Drosophila melanogaster: one gene and its partner. The protein of the gene in region 1 interacts with the protein of each later gene in a pairwise test. Each region holds a gene or a part of one and is shown in the gene's direction. Other genes may lie near its edges.

What was found. Proteins that work in one complex are often made in the same cells at the same time.
Region 2: the proteins of Asph (region 1) and Pex5 interact in a two-hybrid assay, tested with the Drosophila melanogaster proteins (one large-scale study listed by BioGRID).

The regions. Positions count from the first base shown.
Region 1 is NT_033778.4:16,108,584-16,116,347, forward strand, and holds the start of Asph (aspartyl beta-hydroxylase), read left to right. Parts: upstream 1-1,747; 5' UTR 1,748-2,036; coding exon 2,037-2,088; intron 2,089-2,917; coding exon of another isoform or gene 2,918-2,971; intron 2,972-3,157; coding exon 3,158-3,343; intron 3,344-3,399; coding exon 3,400-3,558; intron 3,559-3,612; coding exon of another isoform or gene 3,613-3,618; coding exon 3,619-3,947; intron 3,948-4,005; coding exon 4,006-4,131; intron 4,132-4,205; coding exon 4,206-4,386; intron 4,387-4,597; coding exon 4,598-4,675; intron 4,676-5,192; coding exon 5,193-5,300; intron 5,301-5,451; coding exon 5,452-5,889; coding exon of another isoform or gene 5,890-5,900; exon of another isoform or gene 5,901-6,050; intron 6,051-6,188; coding exon 6,189-6,283; intron 6,284-6,356; coding exon of another isoform or gene 6,357-6,371; exon of another isoform or gene 6,372-6,770; coding exon 6,771-7,011; intron 7,012-7,069; coding exon 7,070-7,175; exon of another isoform or gene 7,176-7,179; intron 7,180-7,227; coding exon 7,228-7,764. Other genes in the region: Ric (Ras-related protein interacting with calmodulin), read right to left, coding at 174-691, 789-845, 1,044-1,263.
Region 2 is NC_004354.4:1,866,314-1,870,657, reverse strand, and holds Pex5 (peroxin 5), read left to right. Parts: upstream 1-1,733; coding exon 1,734-1,871; exon of another isoform or gene 1,872-1,943; coding exon 1,944-3,650; 3' UTR 3,651-3,826; downstream 3,827-4,344. Other genes in the region: CG14803 (uncharacterized protein), read right to left, coding at 1-714, 780-1,360, 1,416-1,735; MED18 (mediator complex subunit 18), read right to left, coding at 3,854-4,095, 4,163-4,344.

The DNA.
Region 1 (7,764 bases):
TAATAAATAAACCACTGTGGCCATAACAATTAGTTATCTGCTCCTCGATCGGTTAATTTCTCTTTTGTATGTTGTATCTGATGGGTATGTGCTATATACAAAATATAGCAAACAAAAGTTACTTGGTTTTTGTGGTTAATATTGCACTCATTTCAAGGAATCCGCCTCCTGGTCTAGTTAAGGTTTCGTCTGCGCCGGAAAACCAATGCGAAAATGGATCGGATGCGCCACCAGCGACTTCGTCGCCCCGTGTGAATCTTTTCCGAATTGGAGTCCGTGCCCAGGGCCTTGTGCATTTCCTTGCGTCGAATCTCGCGGACCAACGTGTAGAATGCCTCGTCGATGTAATGACGCAGTGCAGCCGATGTCTCAAAAAACGGGCAGCCGAACTGGTTGGCGAGATTCCGGCCCTCCTCGGTGGTCACGCGTCGCTGCGACTCCAGGTCCACCTTGTTGGCAATCAGAACCAGCGGAATGTCCTCGGACAGGCGGACACGGGTTATTAGTTTCCTGTACTCGGAGGCCTCCTGGAAGCTGTGGCGGTCGGTGACCGAGTAGCATATGATGAAACCTTCGCCGCAACGCATGTATTGGTCCCGCATGGCCGTGAACTCCACCTGGCCGGCGGTGTCAAGGATGTCGAGCAGGGCGGCCTCATTGTCGATGACCGCCTGTTGCTGGTAGGAGTCCTCTGCAGCAGCAAAAAAGAAAAAAAAAACCGGTATACATTTAGTGGGGTTGTGGGGGCTTGTGCCTTAGACGCCTTGCGCACCCTGCGCCTTACTCACCAATTGTGGGGTCGTGGTAGTCCAGGAAACTGTGGCTCACGAACTGAAGGGTGACAGCTGTTCGGGTTTCGTCGTCGTTTTCAGAGGGCGTTGGGAGTGGTGGTTGGTGGAGTTTCGTGGGTGTCGGTGGTACGGGGGTCAAAACAAAGCGTAAAAGAAATTGAGATAATTTATTGATTTTTCGCAGCCCCAATCAAAGTGCGCAGTGATAACTCGGCATTTTCTTTCGTCTAATCCATGGCTAGAATAGCTCACCTGACTTGCCAACGCCACCGTCGCCCAGGATGACAATCTTATAGACCCGCAGACCGCCGCGCATATTCTGCGGCGGCACCGGAGGCGGCTTGATCAGGCTCCCGTTGTCCCTGTGGTCGCTGGGCACCCGCATCGAGTCCGTGTCGGCGGCGCTGGTGCAGGACCTCAGCTTGCTGGATCGCTTCAGGGCCGCACAGCCGATGGACATGTCGCCGGCCATAATACCGCTGACCTCGCGGATTTAGACCTGGTCCGTGTCGGTCCTAGTCCCGTTCGATCGGATCACACGGAGAACCTCTGCACCGCCGTCGCCAATTGTGTATTATTTTCTTGTTTTTTTTTTTCTTGGTCGGGGTTGGTTCCCTTCGAGATGGGCGCGTGACGATACTGGAGACTGCAGTGCGCATGAATTTTAATGACATGCGATATTTAAAAAAAAGCTAATTTTTTTAATTTAAATTATTTACTTGTATTTAATACTTTGAGCACTTTACATTTTAAATCAAATAAATCAATTTGTTCTGTTGTATGGATAGCGCATAGACATAAAATATGAAAAATCCACGAGTAACAGAAAAAATTACATTTGGGTTTTCTAAACGTTTGCGTTGCTGAACTGTTAAAATTAAATTCAATCTATCGACACAACACGATTTAAAATAAAACATAATTATTAGAATTAAATAAATGTATAAATATTTATGCGTAAATATAGTTTTTGAGAGCTGTCATGAGTTTTCCATCCAGAATAATAAAATTGAAATAGCGGTGCCTTTACTGCCCAGCTGTCATCTCTAGCTTTCATCATTCCCGCCGGATCTGGCAACGCCACTGTCTCTTTATAAATAATTTTCCCACGGTGCGAGCGGTATTTGCATTTAGTAACGTGCTGTTCGTCGATCCAGATCGCCCGTTTTGCCCGGTCCGCTCGAAAAGGAAAAACAAACACTCTCCATTATATTGGCATAGGTTTTAGTGCCTTTAGCGAGCAAAATGTCGGGCGATGTGCAGCCGCGTAAGCGCAAGGATAAGCGCCGAAAACGCGGTAAGTCCCTGTTACGGTACTTTTACTTACAATCATACTCGAATGGACCGTTATTTGGTGTGAAAAACGGTTTTGTCTTTTCGCCGCCGCCGCGTAGCAAGCAGTTCATTTCTTTTATTAGCATAATAATATTGTCGAGTGCCTTTAAAAATAACTTTGCCCTATTATATAAAATTATACATCTCGCCTGTTTTCTGTCGCTATGCGTGTGCCGATCGAGCAGGAAAATATATATGCATGACATGTGTGCGGGCGAGGAAGGCGGGAGGTAGACCATAAAGTGGGTATTTCGATCGGTAGCCAAAGAAAAAGGGCATTGAATCGGTGTGCAAAAATCGAGAAAAATCAGAGAGAGTGGTTTTCCCTGATTTATTTATCTTTTTCCCAAGGCAAACAGATGTTTCGTTGTCCCTGGGGTATCCTCTTATTGCTATCTCTCTCTGCCACTTTTTCTCTCTATTGCTCTCTTCTCTGCGTTATCTTTATCTCATTGGAGAATGGAGAGCTCCGTCACCTTCTCGGCAAATTAATTCCAATGCAACAGAGATCGAGATTTACATACACAGATACTACAATAGATACCAGATAATGATGCTTCCGTAAAGATTCTGGGGCCATTACACCCACGGCACCGAAATAAGTAGCCACGATGGTGCATATATGTGTAAAGCCATTTAATTTCACTTGGCCAACTGCCCAAGAGCATGACTGGGCGGCTTCTTTGTTTATCGTTGCGCATATTTAGGCATAAACAATTCCCCCCAACCGGCGCCGTCTTATCAGCTTGTAATGCCGGTATATGTCTCATTGTAACTAACTTTTCGTCTAGATGATCGCAAGTCCGAGGGCGATGTGACTGTTCTGCGTCAGTCCAGTTTTCAAGGTAGAGAAATAGATACCCCCCTATATGTATTTTTCCCAACACACCCCGGAATGCTTTGCCAAATTAATTGAATGTCTCGCTCAGTTACTAAAACCAAGTAAAACACTCGAAGGTGGATTCAATTAAACTGCTTGTAATCACATGTGTTTTTTTATTATTCACTATCATGCAAATGTCGGATCTCAGATGACGACGAATCTTCGCACGGCGTTCACATTACAAAGATGGGAAACGAAGATCTCCACCTGCATGTGCACCACGATCACGGAACTGGCGGTCACTGGTGCGCCAAGATTATATTCTTCGCCCTGATGGCAGTGCTCCTCGGTTTGGTGGGTCTGATCATCATGGAGAATCGCGGACTGGAGGATCGTAAGTTATAGAATTCTTAGAAATTTGAATTGTACTGAATACCTGTTTTATTTTAGTGGACACTCCTCTGTCGGAGTCTAGGTTCTCGAAAGTTTTTGATGGCTGGGTGGACGAACATCGAGATGAGCATGATGGTCACGATGTGCAGGAACCCTCGGGAGAGGCGTTAGATGATCACGATGAACACGACGACCATGATGATCATGAAGACGAAGGTATGTTAATATTAACTTAATATAAATTCTTTTAAATATATGAACACTTTTTAGACGAAGAGCCCCTCACAGAAGAGTTAGAAGAAGAACTGGAGGAAGAGGAAGAGCCAACTGAGGAGGATGAGCCAGCGGCAGATGAAGAATATGAGGAGGATGAAGATGAGGAGAACAATGCGGGTGAAAACATAACTGCCGAGGATGCGGAGGAGGAGGAAGAGGAGGAGGATAACGATGATGAAGGCACCGTAGAGGCAACTGTAGAAGCTACCACTGAAGCCACTACGGAAGCCACTGGCGAATATGAAGCTGAAGAAGATGATGAGGACGAAGCAGCAGCAGATGATGATGCAGTAGAGTCCACTGAAGCGCCGCTCTCGAAAGCTGAGGAGGTATGATCCTTAGTTTGTGAAAAGATTGAATATTTCCAAAAATTAATTAATTTCGCAGCAGGAAGATGATGAGGATGAGGATGAGGAAGAGCAAGAGATCGAAGAATCAGTAGAGCCGGAAAGATCCCAATATGCGGCACAAAGTGCTCCCGCCAAAGATAATAATGACGACGACGATGATGATGTTAGTAAAATATCTAATTGCTTGTTGGTTTAAATGGTTTTCTTATTTGTTGCTAAATAACTTTCTTATTGCAGGATCAAGACAAAAACGATGCAGATGATGGGGATGACGACGAATTTGAGTCCCTGGCTCAGCAATTCGAAAATGATCCCGAGGATACAGTGCCAGCAAAAGCTGTAGAGAGTGAGGAGCAGGATCAAGACCAGGCTGATGAGGAGGAGCCCAAGGAAGAGGGCTCCTCTTGGTTGGCATCACGTAAGTAGCGAAGGAATGAATAGTTGAACGGTTAACGGATCTCGCAGGCTTAGAACCATAAGAACTGACCGACTGAAATATGCTCCACCTTACCAAAACTGAAAGAATATGCACAACCACACACAACCAAGAACTTAGAAACCGAAATTGTACAAGAAAGTGCAAAAGGCATTTGTTTGTTTTCTCATACTAAAACCTGACTCATTTACAGTTGCCGTTAAATTTGGCGTTGGCGTTGCACTTGCCTTAGTTTCACGCCTTGTATTGATAAGGAAAAGTCCAAATACAAGTGAGTCTTCAATGCTGATCTGCTCCCCCGAATCTCCGCTCTTTGTATTCCGCTCTCTGCTCTTGATCTCTATCAATCATATCCGACAAGCACGCCAAATGTTATGCTAATCAAATAAACCATACTCCGGGGAAACTTTTCAGTAACTATTACTAAGCGCCGCTTTTCGTTCTAACCCACCAAGCGATTGGTAAAATCAGCAAATGACCTCATTGTCTCGTGATTTATTCTCGTTGTATTAACAAAACTAAAAACAAACTCTGGGCAATGACTTCTCTTTTTGGTTTCATTAGAATGAGAACTCATTGGCCCTGTCTAAATTTTGCACTTTCTTCAGTTAGCTTATTTTGATTATGATTTTATATTATTTCTTGAATCTGATTGTAGTCACAGCTTTGTTCCAATTATTATTCGACCAATGTATGTATGTACGGAAATTGTTGAATGGCTTTGTTCTTGCTCGATTAATAATCCCTTAACTCGAATAACGTTCGAATCTTCCGTGGTGAATGCATAGCTGAGGATGAGCCCGCACCAGAGACTATATTCAGGCGAAGATTGACGATTGCCACTGCTGAGGATCACATACCGGATGATGTGGAGGAGCTGCCCCCTTTGGACGATGGTTGGAGATATGAATTATTAATTGCAAACTTCGGCTAGCCGAAGTTGCTTCCAAATCATTTGATTGACAAGTGATCTGGAAGCCTATGCTGTATGATATGCCTGGCCAAGTCCAGAGTATTAACTTCAGTCGTATCCCATTGTCTTAAAAGAATATTCCGAGGAAGAAATCGAAATCGAAGAGGAAATCGAGGTGGAAATCAGTGATATTGAGGAGGAGGAGGAGGAAGTACGTCACGATAACGACGACAACGTGGCCTCCATGGCCAGTTATGTGCCCGAGACATTTGAGCAACTGAGCGCCATGTACAAATACGCCCAGGAGCCTACGAAGGATGCCAAACCCGAACAGAAAGAAAAGGAGCCGGAAAAGCCAGTAGGTCACAGCGATATCTACGTGGAATACGAAGATGGTGCTATCGAGGATTACGAGCATGACGGAGTTAGCGATGAGGAGATCACCGACGAGGAGGACGAAATCTCCGACGTGGACGACGCCGATCTGATGAACCGGCTGGAAGCGAAATACGGTCGTCTGCCCGTCAAGGAGTTTGAGAGCGATCCGGACTCTGACGACCCCAGCTGGACACGTAATTACTAAACGCACAAATCACCACGTCTGTCGATGACCACCCGACTCCATTCTCCATCCAACATATATTCGATCGATCACATAAGCTATCGTAATCATAGGCCCAACACTACTTTAAGACACACGACCAAAAACCGATCGCTTTACACATAACAGATCGTAAGTGTTAGCCATAGGATATACAAACTGACACCTCACACAAGGTGGAGCTATCTAGGCCGTAACCGTTCAAAATTTCACTTCATTTTTTTTGTTGAAAACAATTTGTTCTAATTCAGATTCTTAATCTCTAAATAGAAATAAAGCCGAAAGAAGCTGCACCTGCTCCCGCAGAGAAAGAGGATCCTTTCGAGCAAGAGTTGCGCAAGGCAAACGAGGAGATGATTAGGGAGGTATGTCGCAACCAAAAGGTGTCTCCTTCACCTGGATTAACCCGTGAACTATATATCTTCGATATATCTCTAGCTCAACAATCACTAAAGAACATCACAACAAAAAAACAAAAAACACAATCTCATTTCAAAGCTTTAGTTTATGTTTGCTTGTCAAGTTCATTAGATCATATAACAGCTTAGTCATGTAAGAACAAAAAAGGATAATTAATCAAATGATAGGATTTAACCTTATTCATGTATTTATAGAAACGCTCATTTCAAGAGACCCATATATGATTGGGATGAACCCACGACCAGTTACTCCAAGAACTACACACCCACTTGGAGTAAACTTTGATCGCGGGCTCATCCTTGGAACTCCTTTCAACAGCGTTTCAATTCTTGAGAGAATGATTTTATACTAATTGCATGCTTTCGTATTTTGTCTAACCATTTTTTTTTTGTGTTTTGGCTGGCGAATCGCGAACTAATATCCACCCCAAAGAACTATGCCCAAGCCCTGCGTTCCTTTAACACGCTCACCACCAACTTTGCCCACGAGCCATCGGCCCATTTGGGAAGAGCTCGACTTCTGGAACTACTGGCCAAAAAGGAGCGCAGCAATCAGCGCCTGTGGGAAGCCATCGATGCTTACAAAAGATATTTGGCCTTTGGCGAGCTTGTAGCCAGCAATCAGGAATTTCAAACCGCCGGCGAAAGCTGCATCGAGAATTTGAGATTTTTGGGTAAGTTAACATAATCTGTTAATCTGTTTCACTTTCTACATTGCCTATTGAATTCTAGGTCACCACCGACAGGCAACTACCATCCATGAGCTGCTCATCAATCGTTTGCCTGAGGATCCACGGCTTCGTAACCAACTATCACTCACCTATCTTATGGTAAACAAGTAGGTAAGATAGGCTACTTTGAGCTACAAATACTTTATGATTGTCTCCCAGTCTTCAGCAGGTTGAAAAGGTGGCTGTGGAGACCCTGAAACTTTGGCCCAACAATGCAGTGGCTCAACTTCATTATGGACTAGCACTCAGACAGTTCCATGCTGATTACGCCAAGGCGCTGCCTTATCTAAAATATGCCGTGGAGTCTGGAGAGGAGGGCACGCAAGAGGCTTTCTTCTATTTGTCGCTGGGCGAGACCATGCAGCGCCTGTCCATGAAATCAGAAGCTCTTGAGGTGTACGGTAAAGGTGTTGCCAAAGGATTCTTTGCCAGCCTCTATCAGAGATCGCTGTACAATGAGCCCAGGTTGAGAGCACAGCCATTTTGGCAGCCCAAGGAAACGGGCTATGAAAGGCAGCTGGAGAAGCTGACGCTCAATTGGCGTGCCATTCGCGATGAAGGACTAGCACTGCTGGGAAGAAGTGGATTCTTCGAGGATGAAGCGGAACTGCTGCGCGACAAAGGAGTGTGGCAACAGTATGAGCTATATGCCCAGGGTCGTCGGGTGAAGGACAACTGCCGCAGGGCCCCAATCAC
Region 2 (4,344 bases), on another chromosome or scaffold:
TGTGTCCCTTGGCCACGAGAATCCTTCGCACCGGAGGCAGTTTTTCCAGGGCCAGGCAGAGCAACATTTCGCGCAGCTTGGGCGCCAACTCGCTGAGATCTTCGTGGCAGAGCAGCAGGCACAGAAACAGCTCGATCACATGGTGAATACCAGGCTCATTCAGAGCCAAAAGTTTCGCGGCACTAAACTTGCTGAATATGCGGCCGAGTAGTTTCTGACGTTGGTTGCTTCTGCCCTGCGATGGTAAAAGCTTCAAGGTTTTGCCCAGCATCCACGCGTACATGGTGAAACTGCTCAGATTCAAATCTTCTATATGCGACTTAGACAGCAGTTTGTTGTAGCGATCGACGTAGGCCGACCCATTGGAACAGGTAAGCGGCAGCTGATCTAGCTCAGTTCCCACACTAAAATTGCAGTTGAGGGATCGGTGAAAGTACTCCCACAGCTGGCACAGGACATCAGTATCCGGCTTGCCCAGCTGCAGTTGAAGGGGAGAGAGTTGAATTAGGTAGACCCGCCGCTGCTGTTCGTCCGGCTGGCTCGCCAGAAATTGCTTAAGCAGACTGGCAGTTTGGAAGCTTTCTGGTGCCGCAGTGAGCGGCGAGTGATCCGGCTGGTACCAACCCTCACTGTTGTATTCGTCCAAGCGGGCCAGTCCTAGCCTCAACCAGGAATAGAGTTCGTGGTATGCCAGAGAAATTGCATTGCTCTCACCTCGAGAAGAAAAACGACTATAAGATGAGGGGAAGCCGCACGGTCTAGCTTCTTTGTGCACTCACCCTGGAAGTGGAGTGACTTGTGCCTCTGCATGGCCTTGTGGAATAGAGTCCAAAAGTCTAGCTCCCGTTCTCCCAGCCATTTGGGAATAAGACGTTTCAGCAGCAGCCACAGCTCCTTGTTGCAGCGACACATGAACGGCGAGGAATGGATGAGCTCCGAGCGATGTTTGCTGCGGTAGTGATGTCCAGCACAAACGATCAGATCGTCGAGTGTGCGCTCCAGCTGCCCTAGGAACGCTTGATCATTCCCAGAGGCGTACAGTATATGCAGGTCCAGAAAACGCCACTCCAGTACGCCGTGATACAGGTGATACGCCGGCGCCTGGCAGTCGTTTCCCTTGTTGTGCTCCGCAAAATACAAAACCTTCCAGGTATCCGCATCCAGCTGATCGTTGAGCAATTGTCGAAACCCATCAAGAAAATGTGAAGGCAGCAGCTCATTGCCTCGTAGGAGCAGCATCAGATGGTAGAAGTGTGTGACCTGCTGGCGCACTCTATACCAACCAGAGTTCATAGAGGCGGCCGTGGCCTGCAGGTGTTGCTGGCCCATCACGACGGTTAACAGCTTCTGCACATTCTTACTGAGAATGGAAGAGTTGTACTTGTTGGCAGCTGCCAGGGGAGCTCTAAACTCACCAGGCCTCGCCGTACAGGTAGTTTCTTACCGCGCCAACCGCTAATTGAGCCGGAGCAAAGTCAAAACAGAGATAATCCAGGCGAGAGCGGGGCGGATCCAATTGGGCGTAGCCATTCCCCAGAAAGCCTCCCTCGCACAGTTGGCTCTTCAGAGTGTCTCGGCCACTGCAGTTGAACTCGGGCAAGTGTAGACCGTCGACTAGGTCCTCTTCGCTATCGTCCACGTCTATTTGCGCGCTCAGGGTTTCCTGCTTCTGTGTCGCCTGTATGAAGGTAGCCAGGATCTCCTCGTCATCCGACTGAAAAAGGTCGTAGTCCATGGTGCAGTCGGGGATTTGGCGTTCGAAACCAATTCTCTGGCGGATAAGATTTTGCGCGGCGATATATTTTATTATTATTAGAGCGCTGTGCAACACTGTCACAAAGCCGATAGCTTCGATAACGGCCGATAAACAGGTAATCTTTGTGACATTTGGACTTTTGTTTTGGACCTGATTTGGCCCCTTTTCTTATCGTTGGTTGCCCCAGTTACGTAGCATCTCCACTTCGAACACCATGTCTTTCCGCCCATTGGTCGAGGGCGACTGCGGTGGAGTTAATCCTCTCATGCAACTGGGCGGACAGTTCACCCGCGATGTTGCCCACAAGGATGAGGGCTATGTGCAGCGACACTTCGAGCGCGCTGCTCGTCCCGAGGACCAGTTGATCAACGAGTTCCTGGGACAGGTCACTGCCCCACCGCAGTCATTTCAGATGGACACTCTGCTCCAGGAGATGCGGGACATAAATATTCACGGAAATCCGCAGCAGCAGATGCACTCTCAGCAGGCGGAGCAGTGGGGACAGGACTTTGCCCGCGGACTGGCACCCGCCCTGCCCAACAAGATGATCCACATGCAGGCACAGCAGCAGGACCTGCAGCATGCCCAGGAGTTCTTCGACGAGCCCCTGATCAGTAGCCAGAACTTTCGGTCCCTGCCGCCATTGCGTCAGCCTTTGATGCCCATTGCGGCAGGACAGCAACAGGACCCCTTCTTTGACTCCGCCATGGAAACTATAATCACAGATCATCTGCCACAGGCGCCACAGGGGGAATCGCTGGACGACTGGATCAGCGACTACCAGCGCAGCACCGAACAAAAAGAGCAAACCGCCGCCAACTTCAACGAAAAGTTCTGGGAGCGGCTGCAAGACGAGTGGCAGAAGCTGGCCGACGAGAACGAGCATCCGTGGCTGTCGGAGTACAACGACAATATGGACGCTTATAAGGAGTACGAGTTCGCCGAGGGCAACCCCATGTCTGATGTGGAGAACCCGTTTGAAAAGGGTAAGGAGTACCTGTCCAAAGGGGATATACCCAGCGCAGTTCTATGTTTCGAGGTGGCGGCCAAAAAGCAACCGGAGCGCGCTGAGGTCTGGCAGTTGCTGGGCACTTCGCAGACAGAGAACGAAATGGATCCCCAGGCCATTGCGGCACTTAAGCGGGCTTACGACTTGCAACCGGACAACCAACAGGTCCTGATGGCCCTGGCCGCGTGCTACACCAACGAGGGCCTGCAGAACAACGCCGTGCGCATGCTGTGCAACTGGCTGACAGTGCATCCCAAGTATCAGCACCTGGTCGCAGCCCATCCGGAGCTGCAGGCCGAGGGCACTTCGTTGGCTTCGTCGCTGATTGGTCCGAGTAAGCTGCGCGATCTGCAGCAGATCTACTTGGAAGCCGTTCGACAGCACCCTTCGGAGGTGGATGCCGAAGTCCAGGATGCCCTCGGCGTGCTCTACAATCTATCTGGGGAGTTCGACAAGGCGGTGGACTGCTACCAGTCCGCTCTGCAGGTGGATCCCCAAAATGCGAAGACATGGAACCGATTGGGGGCCAGTTTGGCCAACGGCTCGCGCTCCGTGGAGGCGGTGGAGGCTTATCAGCAGGCGCTGCAGCTCCAACCGGGCTTCATCCGTGTGCGTTACAACGTGGGCGTATGTTGCATGAACCTTAAGGCCTACAAGGAAGCTGTGGAGCACTTACTCACAGCGCTTACCATGCAGGCTCACACTAACGCCGCCCGAGAGCTGCCCAATGCGGCGATGGCGGCTACCTTTAGAGGACAGAACCAGATGTCCGAGTCTATTTGGAGTACGCTGAAGATGGTCATTTCGCTGATGGGCCGCAGCGATCTCCAGAGTTATGTGAGCGATCGCAATCTGGCGGCTCTTAATGAGGCCTTTAAGGATTAACCGCCCCGCAGCTTCTTTATCACTGCTTTGGGAAAGTCCGTTGTTGTCGTGTCATGTGGGTGTGTAAGGTTGAATTTGAGATATTTTTTACTCTGGCAGTGTAATCATTCCCTCTCGGTTCTTTTCTGTAAATTTGTATATTTTCTTACATTTAAGAAATTAAATAACTGTTGGATAAATGCGATGTGCACTTTTATTGTAAACTACGGCATGCCGCCCAGTCGCTTGTAGTCGATCTTCTCGAGCTGCACGAGTGGCTTTAGTTGCTCGGCAAACACGCGCATTTCCTCGCCGACATTCTCCTGCCCCGTTGGCGCCACCACAGAGAGTTCCACTATGTAGCTTTGTGAGATTGGCTCGTTGGCCATGTCCTGCTGCTTGCCGGGCACAATCTTAATGAGCTTGGAGACGGTAATCTTCATGCGCCCCTTGCGGAACATATAGCCTGAAATAAGTCCATTTGTCACTATCCATTTTGGCAACCCAAGCGTAATATATTTCATGATTCCAACCCTTTGCTATGTACTCGAACTCCAGGCGGAAGCCCATTTCCGTGAGGAATTCCAAAATGCCATTGGTGCAGGCGCAGTCCATGCAGCTGCGTACCAATGTAGGCCGGCGCAGATCCACCTCGGGGTTTCCTAGGTAGCGCATCTGAAAGGGTGCATCGCGACCAAGGGCTCGGCGCACGCGA